Linked DNA regions of Caenorhabditis elegans. The protein of the gene in region 2 purifies or fractionates together with the protein of the main gene of each other region. This does not show direct contact. Each region holds a gene or a part of one and is shown on either strand. Other genes may lie near its edges. The genes, in order: idhg-1, mpst-1, ttr-48 and idhg-2.

Evidence for each region.
Region 1: the proteins of mpst-1 (region 2) and idhg-1 fractionate together in Caenorhabditis elegans (co-fractionation; one large-scale study listed by BioGRID). This does not show direct contact.
Region 3: the proteins of mpst-1 (region 2) and ttr-48 fractionate together in Caenorhabditis elegans (co-fractionation; one large-scale study listed by BioGRID). This does not show direct contact.
Region 4: the proteins of mpst-1 (region 2) and idhg-2 fractionate together in Caenorhabditis elegans (co-fractionation; one large-scale study listed by BioGRID). This does not show direct contact.

What each region holds. Positions count from the first base shown.
Region 1 is NC_003281.10:4,567,221-4,572,371, reverse strand, and holds idhg-1 (Isocitrate dehydrogenase [NAD] subunit, mitochondrial), read right to left. Parts: upstream 3,360-5,151; 5' UTR 3,349-3,359; coding exon 3,223-3,348; intron 3,181-3,222; coding exon 2,968-3,180; intron 2,919-2,967; coding exon 2,790-2,918; intron 2,739-2,789; coding exon 2,634-2,738; intron 2,589-2,633; coding exon 2,376-2,588; intron 2,300-2,375; coding exon 2,156-2,299; intron 2,111-2,155; coding exon 1,922-2,110; intron 1,309-1,921; coding exon 1,237-1,308; 3' UTR 507-1,236; downstream 1-506. Other genes in the region: Serine/threonine-protein kinase sel-5, read left to right, coding at 165-256; mlcd-1 (Malonyl-CoA decarboxylase, mitochondrial), read left to right, coding at 4,255-4,356, 4,406-4,540, 4,589-4,711, 4,760-4,986, 5,032-5,151.
Region 2 is NC_003283.11:11,825,392-11,828,960, reverse strand, and holds mpst-1 (Putative thiosulfate sulfurtransferase mpst-1), read left to right. Parts: upstream 1-1,893; 5' UTR 1,894-1,898; coding exon 1,899-2,080; intron 2,081-2,125; coding exon 2,126-2,727; intron 2,728-2,773; coding exon 2,774-2,976; 3' UTR 2,977-3,067; downstream 3,068-3,569. Other genes in the region: D2023.6 (ABC1 atypical kinase-like domain-containing protein), read right to left, coding at 10-291, 339-1,139, 1,188-1,337, 1,390-1,500, 1,552-1,593; D2023.4 (Thialysine N-epsilon-acetyltransferase), read left to right, coding at 3,242-3,307, 3,357-3,444, 3,486-3,562.
Region 3 is NC_003284.9:3,840,309-3,844,159, reverse strand, and holds ttr-48 (Transthyretin-like family protein), read left to right. Parts: upstream 1-1,711; 5' UTR 1,712-1,712; coding exon 1,713-1,804; intron 1,805-1,849; coding exon 1,850-1,947; intron 1,948-1,991; coding exon 1,992-2,064; intron 2,065-2,895; coding exon 2,896-2,977; intron 2,978-3,026; coding exon 3,027-3,176; 3' UTR 3,177-3,291; downstream 3,292-3,851.
Region 4 is NC_003279.8:6,972,628-6,977,626, reverse strand, and holds idhg-2 (Isocitrate dehydrogenase [NAD] subunit, mitochondrial), read right to left. Parts: upstream 3,070-4,999; 5' UTR 2,866-3,069; coding exon 2,788-2,865; intron 2,696-2,787; coding exon 2,588-2,695; intron 1,991-2,587; coding exon 1,889-1,990; intron 1,743-1,888; coding exon 1,614-1,742; intron 1,535-1,613; coding exon 1,442-1,534; intron 1,390-1,441; coding exon 1,258-1,389; intron 1,199-1,257; coding exon 788-1,198; intron 738-787; coding exon 669-737; 3' UTR 556-668; downstream 1-555. Other genes in the region: C30F12.4 (LITAF domain-containing protein), read left to right, coding at 3,958-3,985, 4,036-4,147, 4,195-4,505, 4,812-4,936.

The DNA.
Region 1 (5,151 bases), on a different chromosome or scaffold from region 2:
TTTAAAAAATTTCCGATCGCTAAAAAAATAAAACTGACCAAAATTTTAAAGTTTGTTTCAAAAAGAAACTGAAATTTTTGGTTTTTTTAAACAGAATAATTTACGACGACCCTTCCGTATAGAAAAACTAATGTTTTATTTAAAATTAAAATTTACTGTTTCAGAAGATAAAAAATCGTCACTGACTGGCAAAAATGCATCATTTGTGAATACATCCTTCCAACCGGAAGATCATGATGATCCAACCGACTTGTAAACTGGAATTTTTCATATTTCTTTTTATATATTACACAATTTGTTCTTTTTAGTGATTTGCAATTCACCCTCCCCCCAAAGTTGTCGTTGTGTCAAATTTAGAATCACTTATTTTCTCAATTATTTATTTTCTTTTGGTATTTTCCCGCCAATGTACTTATGATATGTATAATATGGAATATGCTTTCCTTGTAATTTTCATATTTTGGTATCCACCCACGCATGTAGTTGTGATAGACTCAATCTCCCAGTTTCATATGCATATTTTCTGTAATTTATTAATTCTTTTTTCAACTTTTTTTCTGCAAGTTTTAGTACAATTTTTCTGACCCGAAATAAATTATTTCGAATTGAAATGTTCGATCGACATTTGATTTTGAAAAAGAACTTACAACGCATGTTGCTTTCACCAGACCATCCGGTATATTGAACTAAAATTTGTATTAGTTCAATATTTCCTAGATAGTCTGGTGAAATAAAGAATAGAATAGTTGTGGCAAAAAATGAATAATATTAAAGTGAGCTAGGGAGCATTCAAAAAGATACAGTAGCTACAGTAGTAAACTCCGCCTTTTTTCAAGCAGCTCTCAAGTATTGACTAATTAGGTTAAGAGCATATTGGTGGGGGGAGTACTTAACTTTGTGACAGTAACCTAATATTAACATTATTAACAGAGTATCGAATTTCACTAAACCAATTTTATAATATTGTACTATACTGGAAATGAGAAAAATTCAAACAATCAGAAAAAATTAAAATCCAAAGAAAATTGTGGGTACAGAGATGAGGAAGAAAGGAACAAGATAAGAGACATCAGGCGGAAACGTTCAGTCAACGGGGTCAAACAGAGAAAGAGCACAATGAGTAACGCATTATGCTACGAATCATGGATTAATCGAAAAAAAAACAGAGGAAAAGAACGTAAGGGTAAAGCTAGCCACTATGTGGGATGTTTCAAACTTTCGATTATCAGGTAGAAATTAGACACGGTAGTTGCGGTCCTCGAGCTCCTTCTCGATGAAGTCGAGTACTGATTGAACGAGTTCCGATGACTGAAAATTTATTAAATTAAAGTTTTGTAGTGCATTTTTAAAAAGTACTTATAAAGTTAATGTTCTAAAAAGTGAAGTCGTTTTGAAGTTTTGCTTAAAATCATCGAAAATGGACCATAATAACTGTAAAAAAATTTATAACATTTTTTCTATGATTTTTCCAATTTTGCAAGAATAAAAAATGTGAGTTCCGACATTTTTGCCTTTTCCGGCAATTTTTCAAATATTTTTTCCGCAAAGAAAACTTCATAAACCGAAATAAATTCGAAAACATTTCAAAAATTAGCCTAAAACTCGATAATTCATAAATTTCTTTGCGGAAAATGTATGTGTGTTTTATACCAAATACTAAAAAAACAAAATTAAGAGTAATCACTCAGTACAGCCGAAAAACGCAAAAAAACTATTCTACTTATTCGCGCGGAAATTCAGAAACACTTATCTTATTTTTTAATTTTGCAAAATATTAGAAAAATTGTATAAATTTTTAAATTACGGTCCATTTATGGATATCATCTTGAGCAAAATTCCAAAACGACTCTACTCTACTTTTAAATAAAGAAAAGGTAAGAATTTAATATATACAACTTTAGAAAATTAATGAAATTCTTACCTTAGAAGTTCCTCCAATATCAGCGGTGTGAATTCTCTTATCAACAAGCGTACGGAACAATGAATCGGAGATCATATCGGCGTGTGATTGAAGTCCGAGGAAACGAAGCATATCAACGGCGGCACGGATGAACGCAGTTGGATTGGCAAGATCTTTTCCAGCAAGAGTGGTTCCGGTGTTACGGGTTCCCTGAAAAAAACAAATGTTATTTAATATTTTCATCAATATGCTAACTGTTTCAAAGACGGCGTAATCTTCTCCAATGTTCATTCCAGAAACAAGTCCTGGACCTCCGACGAGTCCACAAGCAATGTTTGAAATGATGTTTCCATAGAGATTTGGCATTAACATAACATCGAATTGTTGTGGGCGTGAAACCTGGAAATAAATAAGGATTTTTAATTATTCGTCTTTTTTCAGAACATTTATTTTGATGAATAAATAAACAACCCACCAACTGCATGGAAGCATTATCGACAATCATAGCATTGAATTCAATATCTGGATACTCGGCCTTGGCGATATCAGTGGCTACTTTAAGGAAAAGACCGTCTCCCAACTTTTGAATGTTGGCCTTGTGAACAGCAGTAACCTTCTTTCTTCCATATTTCTTTGCGAATTGGAATGCAAAACGAGTAATTTGTTCCGATTTTTCGCGAGTAACAACCTTTAAATTTGAAATTAGGACTAAATCTCAGTTGATAATCCCAACCTTCAAAGATTCGACAACACGAGGATGTGGAGCATTAACGGCTTCGTGCTCATTTCCAGAGTACTCGCCTTCAGTATTCTCACGGATGATAACCATATCGATTCCCTAAAGCTTTTCATTTGAAATTTGTACAAATCGATTTAAAAAAATTCTTACAGTGTGTCTGCTTGGAACAGTTGGAATAGTGGAACAGTGAAGAACGTTTGCGTAAAGATTGAGTTGACGACGAAGTTCCAAGTTTCGGGAAACGAAGCTTGGGTTATCAAACTTAGTTTCAATGTTTCCCTTCAAAAAAAAAAAATTAAATTTGATTTTAATCTTTCAACAAAAATACCTTCAAAGCAACACCATTTCTCTTGATAGCAGTGATAGCCTCAGCAAGATCTTCAGATGCATCTTCCTTTGAGGTCAAATTAACCACTTCGAAATCTACTGGAGCTTGAACTGCTGAAAGGATTCTCTCGACATGATGGAGCATTTCTGGTCCAATTCCATCTCCTGGCAAGACTGTGACGTTGTGACGTCCTCCATAACGAGCCAGCTTAGTCTGAAAATTGATATTAATAGCAGATAAAAATGAATTACTTACTGTGTTAGTTTGAAGAACTGGAGAACGGAATCGGAGCATATCGGAGTTCGGTGAAGTCGCGACGAACGCCTTTTGCACGACATTCTTCGAAGAGCGAAGTGTATGACCGAGGACGTTGCTCGACATCTTGTTTTTACCTGAAATGTTAAAAAAATGGAATTTACTAGAAAAACAACAGTTTAAAAATGTACTTTTAAAAGTGCATGTCAGAATAGTAGCCAATTTTTTAAATAGAAGGGTATAGTATATTTCAAAACTTTAACAAAAAACATTAAATCTTCCCGATATCATCATTATCATTATGAAAACTCAGATTTATCACTAAACAGATAATTTTCAGAAATTATATGCACAAAAAAAGAGGGCGGAACGAGCCGACCGATTGATTTGCAAGCGCCGCACGTGTTTCTCGCAATTCCGCCGCGCGACATTTTCATTTTCGTCTTTTATGTTTATTTTGTCCATTTTCGTTCATTTCTATCTATTTCAAATATTTTTGCTTTTTCTCTCTATTTGAGGGTTCATTGGTTTGTGTTTACTTCTAGTCTAGATTGCAATTCAAGCCAACTGCCGGGGAAATCCGGGAATTCGAACAGCAGTTGGCGCTTGATTGATTTTCGCCGCCGAATTGTTGTTGCTTCGTTGTTTTGTTTTGTTGGTTGTCTCAAGCGCTTATCAGGTGATCTATTAGTGATTTTTGTGTAGAAATAAATGTCTTAGGATTGTTCTTTAAAGTTTGTTTCATTGAAAACTCTTTGAAATAGTTGTTTCATGTAGAACCTGGCACGCCTTTTTCCAAAAATAGCGTCTATTTCTTATACAGAAATCGGTATCCAAGAAATAGTTTTGGCTGAAGTTACAAAGTCTTTATTATTTTATTAACTACTATTTAAAACGTTAACTGTTACTTGATTATCTTTTTATTTGTTCGTTTTGCTGATTTACATGCTCCCGGACTGTTTCGAGAATGTTTCGCGCTATGAAACTGTTATTTTCCCCCATAGATAATTATTTTGTAGGTTGATGTAAATAATGCTTCGTCGATATTCACATTTTTACTCGATTCGATATTCTTCCACATTATTATCTACTTTAGACGGACTCACAAATCGAACAAGTGGAGATAAGTTACTCGTAAGTTGAACTATATTTTCCAATTATTTGAAAAAATTTTATTTTTCAGACTTATAGCGAGAAGTTTTCCAAATTATATGCCAATTCCACGCCAGAAACTCGAAAATCGATTTTCGTAGATCTCGTCACAAACTATGGTGTAAACAAAGAAGCCCTAAATCATGCGATTTCTCTATATTCTAAGGTTGGTTATTATCATTGACATCGTATGACCAAAAATTGTAAAGTTCAGAATGATCAAATGTACCCGGAAGTAAGAACATCAGCAACAGCTTCTTATGTGAATTTGATAAAATCAATTGGAAATTTACCGGGAGGAGTTATGCAAGTCTGTGAAATGAGGGCTAATATTTTGGTATTAAAATTAAAATAAAATTAGCATCGAATATATAATTATTTTCAGGCACTTCTAAAACGGGAAACTGACAAAACTACAACATCATATCTCCGTCACATTGAACTGGCCACTAGAGAAGTATTAACTTCATGGTTTTCTTTAGGAAATCTAAAATTGGAACGACTTACGTGGTCATCTCCTGGAGATATTCTACAGAAAGTCGCCGAATATGAGGCAGTTCATCCAGTTAGAGGACTTTCAGATTTCAGAAAACGTCTTGGTCCGTTGAGACGGTAATTATGAAATAAAAATAAAAAACTAAAATTTCATTTTCTCAGATGTTTCTATTTTTCCCACGAAGCTCTTCCCCGGAACCCACTTGTGATGGTTCACGTGGCATTAGTTGATGAGATAGCGGATAGTGTACAAGAAATCACAAAAAGAGGAGCACCGACTGG
Region 2 (3,569 bases):
TAAACTTACTTCAATATGTCCATCACTTGATCCAAAAACTCCTAATTTATGCTCGATGTTTCTCATCAAATCATTCGTTTTTAAAATAAGAAGCATTTCTCGTGGCATTCGTGCTAGTACTTCACTGATTTGAGGTATCAACGACGAAGCATACATACGAAGCTCATCTTTTTCACTTTCATTCATTTTCGACTTTCCAATTCCACCTGTGACCGACTTCCAAGAACGTCGAGTGACCATGCATGCAAATAGACCGTAGAGTTCCCCAACTCCCATTTGACTTGCAACTTTCTGAAAATATTAGCTTTCACTTAATTATATATTTTAAAATAACTAACGCGGATCTCTTGGAGATCAGGCTTCAGAATTGCCAGCCAAAGATCGGAATACAGTTTACGAATGTGATCACTGATATTCAAGTACAAACCATGATCCAATAGCACAATTTCATATTTTCCATTTCCTAGGCTGTTGATCAGTACATTTCCAGGGTGCGGATCCGAGTGCAAATATCCTTGTAGAAAGATCATTTCAGAAATAGTTTTTCCTATTTTCATACAAACATCATGTGGATCAATATTATTCTTTTTTAGGTATTCCACATCATCAACATGTGCTCCTTCACAAAATTCCATGGTGAGTACTCTCGTTGTAGTCAAATCGTATTTAATCTTTGGAATTCGTAGAAATTTCAGGTGCTTGAAACGTTGAGCTGCTTCATCGGCATTTTTCGCTTCGTGCAGAAAATCAAGTTCATTTGGAAGATTCTTCTTTATTTCGTCCACTAGCCACATAAGACGGAATTCCGGAAAGACTGCATCGGCAACTTTTACTAAGAATTCCATAGTGTTAACATCGGTCCTGCTATTCTTGTAAACTCGTTTATGCTGAACTTTAACTGCAACCGTCTCCCCAGATTCTTTTAGCTTTGCTTTATGAACTTGTGCCAGGCTTGCCGCTCCAACTGGTTTTTCGGAAAATTCCGAAAATAGGTCGCCGACTTTTGCGTTTAATTCTGACTCCACGACGTAAATGACATCCTCCTTGGATGCTTGTGGAGCTTGCGAGGTGAGAATGCTTAATGTTTGAGTGTACTCTGGTGGTATCAAATATTCCATTCCCGAAATGTGTTGTCCAACCTATATTTTCATTTATTTCAATAGAAATTTGAAGTATAATTCAGCTACCTTGATGAAAACACCTCCGTTGACACAGGCCAACTCCAAAAGATGCTCCGCACTTCGCTGGTGACATTTTTTGATTGCATCATCGTATTCAGAAGATGGCTCTGGAAGTCCACGCAATGAAGTTTTGTAGTCAATTACAATTTTCCCTACCTGAAAATTCAGATCGAAATTTTTTGTAAACAGTTTAGTTTAAACAACTTACGGTTGAAGCAGCTCTCCCAAATCTCAGCAGTCCTAATTGTCTTAAGTCTTCAACGGAATCTACCGTGTACGCTGTATAGCCTGCTCCAGCTCCAGTTCCCACAAATAAGACCTTGAAAACGTTTTTAATTAATACGATGCTTTGAAAACTTAAACAACTTACTTTTGTGAGTGGCTTAAACGCCAGTATTTTTCTAATAATCATGACACCGGGCTGAAAATAACTGAAAATGATGGAAATTCATCTCAAAAAATATCGACGCAAGTGCGCTCCATTGATTGCAGAGAGAGTATGTGTATTCTGGAGGTCAGAGACATTTTTGAAAACAGTTTTTATTTTGCAAAACAGTTTTGAAATCAAAGTTCTTGCTGTTTTCAGAATGTTCTTCTTTGCCTTTTTTTCATTTTTAAGTAATTTTTTTCTCAGTAAAAATATAAATCTCTTTAAACGGTTTATGTTCAGTGTCTTTTCGTAAAATATTTTAAAAATTATTAACAATTACAGTAATTATGAGTCTCAAAAAAATAATCGATGTAAAATCAGTTAACACTCTTCTGAAAAAAGGAATTATCAATAAAGAAGGAGTGCGGATCATTGATTGCTCATTTGCTGTGGCGCCGCGTCCAGATTGGAAAGAATTCGAACAAGAGGGTTATGGCGATTTCAAGAATCTCATGGCTGAGCCCAGCCCGTATGTTTATTCAAATTTTAATTTAAAAAAAAACAAAATTTGAAGGTCCCGGAACTTGTACCTGGCTGGACACATTCCGGAAGCTGTGCATGTGGACCTGGACATTGCCACATATCCATCTCGTTATCAAAGATTCCAACAATACCGCGCGGATCTTTTCGAAGAATATGCTCAAATGGTTGGATTGAACAATAAAGAACATTTCATCTTTTACGGAAAAGGAGCATTTGGTGGAATGCTTTTTGCTTCAAAGGTTGCTTGGATTTTCAAATCCTATGGCCATGAAAACATTTCTCTTGTCGATGGAGGATTTGATTCATGGAAAAGAAATGGATTTGAAGTATCTACAGAACTCGTAAAATTGCCTGCAGGAAACTTTAAAGCTGAAGATAATTTCAAAAAATATGTCATCACATTCCAAGAACTCGAAGCTAAAAAAGACGGCGAAGATAAACAGTTTATCGAAAAAACATCAGAAATTAACTTTCTGGACAGCAGAATTCGTGGTCAATTCGATGGAACTCAAGAGACCGGTCTTGATCCACATCTTGTAAACGGCACTAGAATCGCTGGTTTCAAAAATCTACCTAGTGCAGAGCTTCTTGTGAAAGGCGGAAATTTGAAAAGTGAAGAAGAAATCAAGTCATGTAAAAGATAATGAGTTTTCCGATAATCTCAACTTTTCTAATTTAGGGCTCACTCAAAACGGATATGTTGAAAATCAACCGACAATCACATCCTGTAATGCTGGAATTCAAGCAGCACTTTTGGCGTACGTAATCGATGCTGTGAAGCCATCACAGAATCCTCCCCGCGTATATAATGGATCCTTAAAAGAGATGGAGCTTCGAGCACCGAAGAAAATTTCGGAGGGACCACAGCATTTGCCTCATTAATGTTTAGTTTTGTAGGATTTTTCTTTTATTCAATTTTCATAGATAGATATTGTTGTTATTTTGTTTCTTACTTCATAAAATTTTGGAATAATTTTATTCATTTTTCCTTTTAAATGGTTACTTGACTACCATTCAGACTATTTAGTTGAAAAATCTCGAACATCAGAAACCACTGATATCGAAAAATGATTTTTCATCTTCATTGTGTGATAAGAATTTCAGTTCATAACTTTTGAAAATTGTTCTTCACTTTTATCGTTAAAGTATGAAAAACTTCGAAATTGTCACCGTTACCCCGGATCATGCCGAACAACTCATTTCAATGATTCATGTAGGTTTATTTCTTCTTCTTTATTTGAAAAGAAAATAAACATTTGCAGGAGCTCGCGGAGTTTGAAAAAATGAAGAGCAGCGTGGTGAATACTGCCGAGAAATTGAGAAAAGATATTGAAAACAAGGCAGTGCATGGTACGATTTTGATTTTTAATTGATCATAAATCGAAATTTAGGATTCATTGCATTTATCGGAGAGGAGCCAGCTGGAATGAACCTTTTTTACTATGCATATTCAACATGGGTTGGGCAGGTATTTA
Region 3 (3,851 bases), on a different chromosome or scaffold from region 2:
ACCTCAACATTTTGCGTCATTACGGTAATCAAGAGCGTTCAAAGCAGTTCAAGCAGTTTTTTTTTCAAATCTCTGCATTCTTTCTTCAAAATTCAAGCATAACATTTTCGATTGCACACATAATTTCTCATTTTCCCCCCATTCCGGTTGACTGTTCTATTGCCCGGTTTCTCGTCTGATAGCAGTATGTTGCATTTACAACTCTTTTATTCGCTTTTCAAATACCATATGCTCAGGTTTTTTGTCCCGCTGTTTCTTTTTTCTTTCTGATTCGCACGTTTGATTTCTCGGATCCCGTAGAACTTTCTAGCCTAATAAAATTATTTTTTTTTGATGTGCTCCACACAATTGAGCAGCTTCTCAGATGCGGTTAGTAACTCGATTTTCATGGTCTTTTCTGCCATTCACCCTCACCTAATTTCACAGCTTCTCTCGTTTTGACTAGTCATCAAAACGAATACACACCATTCTTTTTGTACGCTGAAAGTTCATGTTTTTCTCAGAGTGTTTTTGCCTTTTTGTGTATCTATGATAATTGTACGTTCCGGTGAGATTTCTAGGTTGTTCATCTCATTCTTTCCCGATAATTGCTTGAAACCCACCGACACACTCCGTTTGAATATTCACCTCCCCATTCTTCCTGGTGCATAGTTACGATATATTCAATTGGAACTGCTGGTTTCGATTTTTAAAACCCGGAGCTTTTCTTCTGATAGGGTCAATTTTTGTATGTAACTTTTCGAGAACAGTTTTATTTTTTCGCATAATTTTTTGATAAATATTGAACACTTTCAACATTTTCCAGAAAAATTTAATTTCAGATACAGGTATTTTTTGTGAATTTTCATCAAAATTTAAGTGGAGTCACCACAAGTTAGGTGTGGTATGGTTTTGTAAAAATTTGTTTTAAAAATAATTAAAAGTGTTGTATGTTGTATAAATGTTGTTTTTTTTTTGGAAGTCGCCTATCAAAAAATTGTTTGAATAGGTTGGCTATGACATTTGGTCATTTTTGCATCATAGCTGGCACCATGGTTTTTTAAAAATGTCGCAGCGTCTAGAAACTAATTTTTGTCGTCCAATTTTGGTTACAACATTTTGGGTATAACTCTGCGACATTGACAAGTCGGTCAAATTTCAAATTATTCTAATTTTAGGCTATTTTTTGAGCTGTAATAACTATTTTTAATAGTTTTCAAGAAGTTTCATTATGAAATTCGGTGTTTTCAGACAATTTTAAATATAATAAACAAATAAAAGAAATTCGACTACACCACCTTTAAAACTCCAAATCACGTCAATAGATGTATTTGTTCTTATTTGTGTTGAACCATATGTTGAATAATCATCAACTGATCATATAATCAATATAAATTGTTTATTTTTCTTTTGAATGAAGAGCCAAAGTGTCCTTATTGTCAATAGCTTCGCGATAAGAGTGATAAGCTAGAATAGTGTTGACCAGTGTTTGGTCTATCAAAACGGTTTAGAAACTTGATAATGAAACTGTACACTGCGACCGTTTCATTTTGATTCTTCCCAAGTGTTTTGGGAAGCGTCGAACATTTTGATCAATATCAATTGGTGTCTACGTGCATCTCTATTGAGAGGTCAGGTGTTCACTGAGCATTTTGTTTTCCGGTATCTTCTTCAATATCCTTTCTATTGATTCATGAATCGCTGAGAAATACGTTTAATTATCACATTTCAGCATGATTTTCATATTTATCGCCGCTCTTCTTTTACCAATTTCATACGTTTCTGCTGGAGCGGATCTTGATGTCCCAACTAACATTGCCAACAGGTAAATTTAATTTTCAATTTTGTAAAAATCAATTTATATTTTTAGAACCATGGCAGTCAAAGGACAACTGTATTGTGGAAAGAAGCCTTTCGAAGGAGCCAAGATCCGACTTTTCAGAACATTTCAACCAAATGCAGCAGATGGTAAGTAAGGTATCAAGTTTTGAGCAAGACCATAATCATGTCAGATCTCGCCGAGCTACTCGACGTAAAGAACACATACATTACGGGAATGTTCCAAGTTGAAGGAGGTACCGCGAGGTTTGTTATTTTTTGCTGAGAAAAGGTTATTTAAAAAGTCAAAAGTTTTCTATTCATGTCTTGCTTATCAATAGTGCCAATAGTGCGTGCATTCGAAATGAAGTGAAGTATGTCAGAATTATCTTGTGCTGAAAACATTATGAGAAGGAAGTTTTACACATTGTTGTAGTGGCATAAATTGGAGAACAGTTTGAAAATACAAGTTCTGAAAGGTGGAGCACGGTCAATGAAAAATAATGGAAACGCATTCATATGACCAAAAACTGACCGAATATCTAAATGAAGTTTTTCAAAAGTTTTGGAATATTTTTTCTAAATAAGCGTAAACTGAGGTTTTACAACTTTTTGACTCGAAATAAATAATTTTCCGAAGTTATTAAAAAACATTTTTTAGCTCCAGAACAATAATGTTTAATCGTTTTCACACTCGCTATTTTTCACCATTACATCGACTGGTTTTAGTATCTTATATAGAAAAAGCAATTCAGACGAACAATTCTAACAATTACAAACTTTTATTTCACTGAATGAATATATTCTTACTCATTTTTTGGGGTCCTTAGAATCTTATCAAAAGTTAAGAGGTTTTTGGGTTTAGAAAAACATTCGGGAAGCTCCTCGATACTTCAAATCTCTACACAAAATATAGAAATTGTGATTCTCATCAAAATTGGAGAGATTTAAGGAAACCAAAGATTTTCAGCAATTTTCGGGACCTCGAAAATAGTGCTAAGTTCAACTGCAACATTTCAGAAATAGCTGATAGCAATTGCCTTGTTTTAAAACCTGGAATTAAGATTAAAATTTTGTTTTTATAAGTTTAACTTTCAGATTCCCACGTACCAAAACCGATATCCAGCCATATGTCACAATTCATCACAACTGCGGAATGGACAATAAGCAAACATCCAATGTAAGTCAAAGACCAGCACTTACGAAACAAAAATCAATTATTTTTATAGTACGGCTACAAACGAATTGGTGTCCGTCTTCCAGAAGATTACGTAACACTCGGAATCAAAGCAAGAAAGGTGTATGACTTTGGAATTCTCAATTTGGAGTTGGAGTTTCCACAAGAGACCCATGATTTGAAGTTCAAATTCACCGATTAAATTTAACTTTTCTTTCACAATTTTTTTCTTCATTATATTTCACATCAAATATTTTGAATTTTATTTAGAAGTTGTTCCCCATGAATGCAATCAGTAAAATTTCTCTTCTCATTTCAAAGCGCTCGCACTCATTTTGTTTTTGTTGTTTGGCACTGGCTGTTGTTCTGTTTTGGAAAACGGATACATCACGCATATCAGATCAGAAAATATGGAGGAAAAGGACGTGGTGTTGAGAAAAATAAAACCACCCAGGTGAGAAAGAGAAGAATCTCACGAAACTTTTCTCATTTGATCTTTGTTCACCGGAGGACAAGCCTTGAAACTGTTCATTTTATGAGAGCTGTTATTGCACGAACCGAAAGAGGGCGGTTTTTGAAAACTGACAATATGGACAGTAAAACTTTTCAGTATTGTTGTGTTCTGTGTTCCGCCGTTTTCGACAACAATTTCCAGTAAGTTTCAATGTTTTGCCGAATTTTCTCTGTATGGAATTTTTATGATACATAATGAATTTTCAAAATGGGGTTGAGCCATTTTTTTAGATAAATAACTGAAACTTTCATACTGTCCAAAAAATTATTATTTTTTGTACACTGAAAAATTTATGCAATACAGTTAGTTTGTGATGCACGCATAGTGGCTTAGAAAGCACACGCGAGCTCAATGATCAATTTT
Region 4 (4,999 bases), on a different chromosome or scaffold from region 2:
TAATGAGTCAAACTTCCTGAGAATACACGAATAGATTTGCTTTTTATTCAACTAATAATAATTAGTTTGAGCCTTAATTTGTATTCGCAAAAAATTTTTTGAAATAGCTTCAGAATTGTAAAAATTATTTTCTATAAACTTTTGAAATGGAGAGCTTTAACAGAGGAAAACATTGACTGACTATTGATGTTGAACCGATTCGTCTCCGTCCCTTCTTTTCTGTTCTATTTGTATTTCATTTGTCGTTGAATCGTTAATCTGAATGGTCAACACTACAGGCTCTTTCTCTGGGTTCATAAGCTTCAGAAAACAATTGTTACAATGAGAAATGATGTGGTGTACTGTCCAAGGAGAATAAAGATCAGATACAAAAATTTTCAAAATTTAATCTACGTTTCAAATTTTGGTTCATTTCTCTGTTTGAATTTCCTTTGCCCTGTCTGATTGGTCATGGGGCTCTAATTTTTGGATGAAATATGAACAGGGGATATTCTAAAATTGAAAATTCGTGTTTTTCAGAATTGCGTTTTTCATTAAGTTTTATAAACCCACAAATCAATTTCAATATTTTTATTTATTTACAAAAGTATAGTTGAAAAACATAAAAACCTGACACGAAATATTAAAATCCAGAAAATTAAAATTATATCAAAGCACGAGAAATTTCATCAATGTTTTGGGTTCTCGTCCATCAAAACTTTGATGTTCTGAAGAGTTGCGTTGATAACATCACTGGCCTGTAACAATGGTTTAGGTTTTTTTTTGGAAACTATTTAATTTTACTTACCGAATTATTTCCTCCAATATCAGCAGTGTGAATTCTTTGTTCAACAAGAGCCTTCCACAATGCATCGGAAATAATATTAGCGTGATAATGGCATCCCAAATATCTCAACATATCAACAGATGCTCGAATGAACGCAGTTGGATTGGCAATATCTTTTCCAGCAAGAGAAGTTCCAGTATTACGAGTTCCTGTTTCAAAAACAGCATATTTATCTCCAAGATTCATTCCAGACACTAATCCAGGTCCACCGACAAGGCCACATGCAATGTTCGAAATGATATTTCCATAAAGATTTGGCATAACCATTACATCGAACTGTTGAGGTTTAGAGACAAGTTGCATTGAGGCATTATCCACAATCATTGCTTCAAATTTGATATCCTTATAATCTTCTGACATGTCCCGAACAACCTGAAATATCATTTAATATTCATTATTTTAGGCCTTAAATTGAAACGTTAAAAACACACCTTTAGGAAAAGTCCATCTCCAAGTTTCTGAATATTAGCTTTATGAACAGCTGTAACCTTCTTTCTTCCATTTGCTTTTGCATATTCAAATGCCATTCTTGAGATTCTCTCAATTTTCTCACGGGTGACGATCTCAAAGTATTTATTTAACTGAAAATACAGGAAAGTAGGAATTTGAACTCACTTTAATGCTTTCTACGATTCCTGGAACTGCTTCATGTTCTAATCCAGAGTATTCTCCTTCCGTATTTTCACGTATAAGAACAATATCAATTCCCTTAAAAATAAGAAGTTTTAACAATTGAATACAATTTTTTTAAACTCTCCAACTGAAACAAATTGGTAAGTTTACTTACAGAATGTCTGGTAGGTACTGTTGGAATTGTGACACAGTGAAGAATATTGGCATAGAGATCCAATTTAGTTCTGAGTTCAACGTTACGAGAGTTGAATTGTGGATCGTCGTGTTTTGTTTCAATGTTTCCCTGAAATTATTTTATATACATTAGTTGTAATATTTATATTTTGACATTAAACTAATGCAAATTTTTAATTCAATTCAAAAAAACAGAGGTACTTTTTTTTACAATTGAACAAGCAGGTATTTCACTAATTTTATTTAATTCATTACCTTTATAGCAACACCATTTCTTTCAATTGCCAGCATAGCAGCATCCATGTCTCCATCCAAAAGCGACGATGAGACTTGCACTTCTTCAAAGTTGACTGGAGCCTAAAATTAACATCTGTCTCTTTTTTTTGCTTCACCTTATCCATTTTGGTAGTTCTCAACATGTGAAAAAGGATTACGATTAACTTGTATTCTACCAACTTTTTAAAAAAATCAAAAAGAGTCGAGATACGAGCAATCAAAGTTGAGCAATAAAATCCAAAACTAATAGAAGAAAAACGATACTAAAAAAGCTTATGAGCAGTGAAGAATATTGAAATTAAATATTGTGTGTTTTAAACCCAAACACGGTTACGGTATATTGTAAATCCAGTTTAACGTGACTTTAAAATGATAACTTGAATATGGTTTTTAGAACTTTCACATTCTTGAAGAAGCAAGCTTAAATTCAAATGTGGGTACTTGTGTATGATACCCCCGCCATTAAACATTAATTTTTTACCTTATAAAATAAAAATGTGTGGAATTTTAGGCTTAGGAAAACAGCACTCCGAAGCCTAATAAGGAAAATGGGTATCACGTTTAATTTAAACAAATAAATTAATGGAAATTTGATTAATTTTTACAATGGCGGGGGTATAATACACAAGTACCCAAATGTGCATAGTAGACTTTATATTTTCAAGCATGGGAACCTACATGACAAAACGAGAAAATATTTCTGATATGGGCAATCATCTCGGGGCCAATTCCATCTCCAGGAAGGGCACAAACTGTATGTCGACCACCATATTTTGCTAGTGGGAGCTGAAAAAGTGATTATATTATGGTTTTTGGAAGAATTGCATTTTGCTACATTTTATTTTATAATTTTAATTTTCTGATAAGATAACTCTTACTCTGTGACCTGGAATTTGATGGGTACGGATTGCAGAGGCAGCTCCACGAACCGCTTGAATCGGAAGTTTTGAGAACATTCTTAAATTTTTGTTCTTTAGTTATAAAAGCTTCGTTATTGATTCATTGTCAGTTAGGAATTCGATTAGGAAGTTAAGAAGAACTTAAAATATCTCAAATTCGTAAATTTTTTTGCTAGAGACTGTCTAGTATTTCAAAATTTGAGACAATATGTATGTAGCTATAGAATATTTAATTTGAGAAAAAAGGTATCGATTAAATGTAGCATGGGATTCTCCAATGCTCAGGGTCCCGGGAACAAAAAGACGGGCGTTTTCATGAACATCTGCGTCTCTACATCTCTCTTATCTCTAACGTGGTAAACAACTTGGCAGGCACACACACATTTGTTCGGCTTATCAAGAAAGAAAAGAAAAGTTTGGCAGAGAAAATTGAAAAAGATAGGGAAGTGCGGCTCAATTCAGGTGCAAGAACACCCTGACACGTGTTGAATGTGGTCAAAATTTCAGAGTTTTGACTGAAAATTGATGAGACATAAATGGGGAGTTGTAATAAAAAATATTAGACGAATTGAAAGTTTTGTCACTAGTGGAAAAAAAACGATATGACTTCAGTGTGTGAGAAGATAGAAATTTCTTTATTTGGAAACGAAGAGTTTTAAATCATACTCCGGTGCGGGAAATGTTTCGCTAGGTGCTAAATTTTTCGGGATTAATCCTAGTTTTCTCTGGCCACTTCAAAATTTGAAACTTCATAGACTTAATTTTCTACATGAAATGAATTCTCCTGTATAACTTGGCACCTGTAATGACAACAATTACTGAGATCGTGGCGAGACCCACTCGAAACATTGGCAGTGCCTTTAAACTGACATGTCAAAACTTCGCGAAATCACGATATTTCTATACTTCCGATTTTATTTTAAAAAACTTATACAGTTCTTCTCAAGTTTTAAGATTGCTTGACACTTTTAAACTTTTTTTTAAATAAAAATAATATTATTGGAAATGTTCGTTTGCAATTTTTATAGTGAACTACGGTATGCAATCAAAGTACGCAAACACATCGACGCACTTCTCACAGACTGAGATTCGAGGAATTATTTTTTTTTATTTTCTCATCTGTTTTCAATCGGAAAATCGTTGCTCAAGATGACAATTAATCCGACTGATTACGTCTGTAAGTTATTTTATAAAATAATCTAAAAATTTTAAACACCTAATTTTCAGATGAAGAGCCCCCACTCACGCCTGATGGAAGAGTTCAATTTTTGGGGCCCGAAACTGTCAAGTACATTTCTCCACGAAGAGTGGAGGTTATGCGGCAACATATCAGACCAGAGTGAGTTGAAGAAAGAAAATTCATTGGAATAAATTCACAATTTACAGGATTTCTCAATATTCTCAACAACAACCGCCACCATATTATTCATCTCAAGTCTATCCATCAGTTCCATCTGCTCCACCAATTCAACCACAGCCTCAAATGGTTCCAGTTTCAATGCCAATGGTTCAACAGCAGTACATGATGCCCCAAATGGCTCAAATGATGCCTCAGCAAATTGTTATGCAGCAACCGATCATGACAACTGCAGGACCACAGATGATGATGACTCAGATGGCTCAAATGGCCAATCCAGTGCAGCTTGTCTCACCTCAACCGCCTGTCCAAGCCCCACCGCAACAGCAGGCGTCGCCAGGTATATTCGATAAGTAATATTAAAAATTATAAAAAAATTATACAAGATATATATATATGTTTCGGCGAAACTTCATTTTTATAAAATACTCGATACTCCTTGTTTTTTATTGAAATCCAGTCTCAGACATCGAGAAAAAAAGCGCTCGAACACAAAATTAGAACTCAAAAAACCGGATGTCCAATTTGTGAGACCTAGTCTAGACAAATTTATTTTTATTCATAATTTCAAGTTGCCATTCACCTTTTTTTAATCATCAAAAAGTAGAAATTTCCACTTCTTCTTTTATTTATCTTAAAATTTCAGCTATAACTCTGTGCGTTAACCAGTCTCCACAAATTGGTGGATCTCCCGGAGGAGGTGTGGGTGCACTCGTCTGTCCGAAATGTCGAAAAGGAATCATCATGCGAAAACAAGATCGATTGAGAAAGGTTAGTCATTTTTGCTGATTATTTTTAAAGTGCAACGAGATGATTTTGATAGTCAGAAACGAA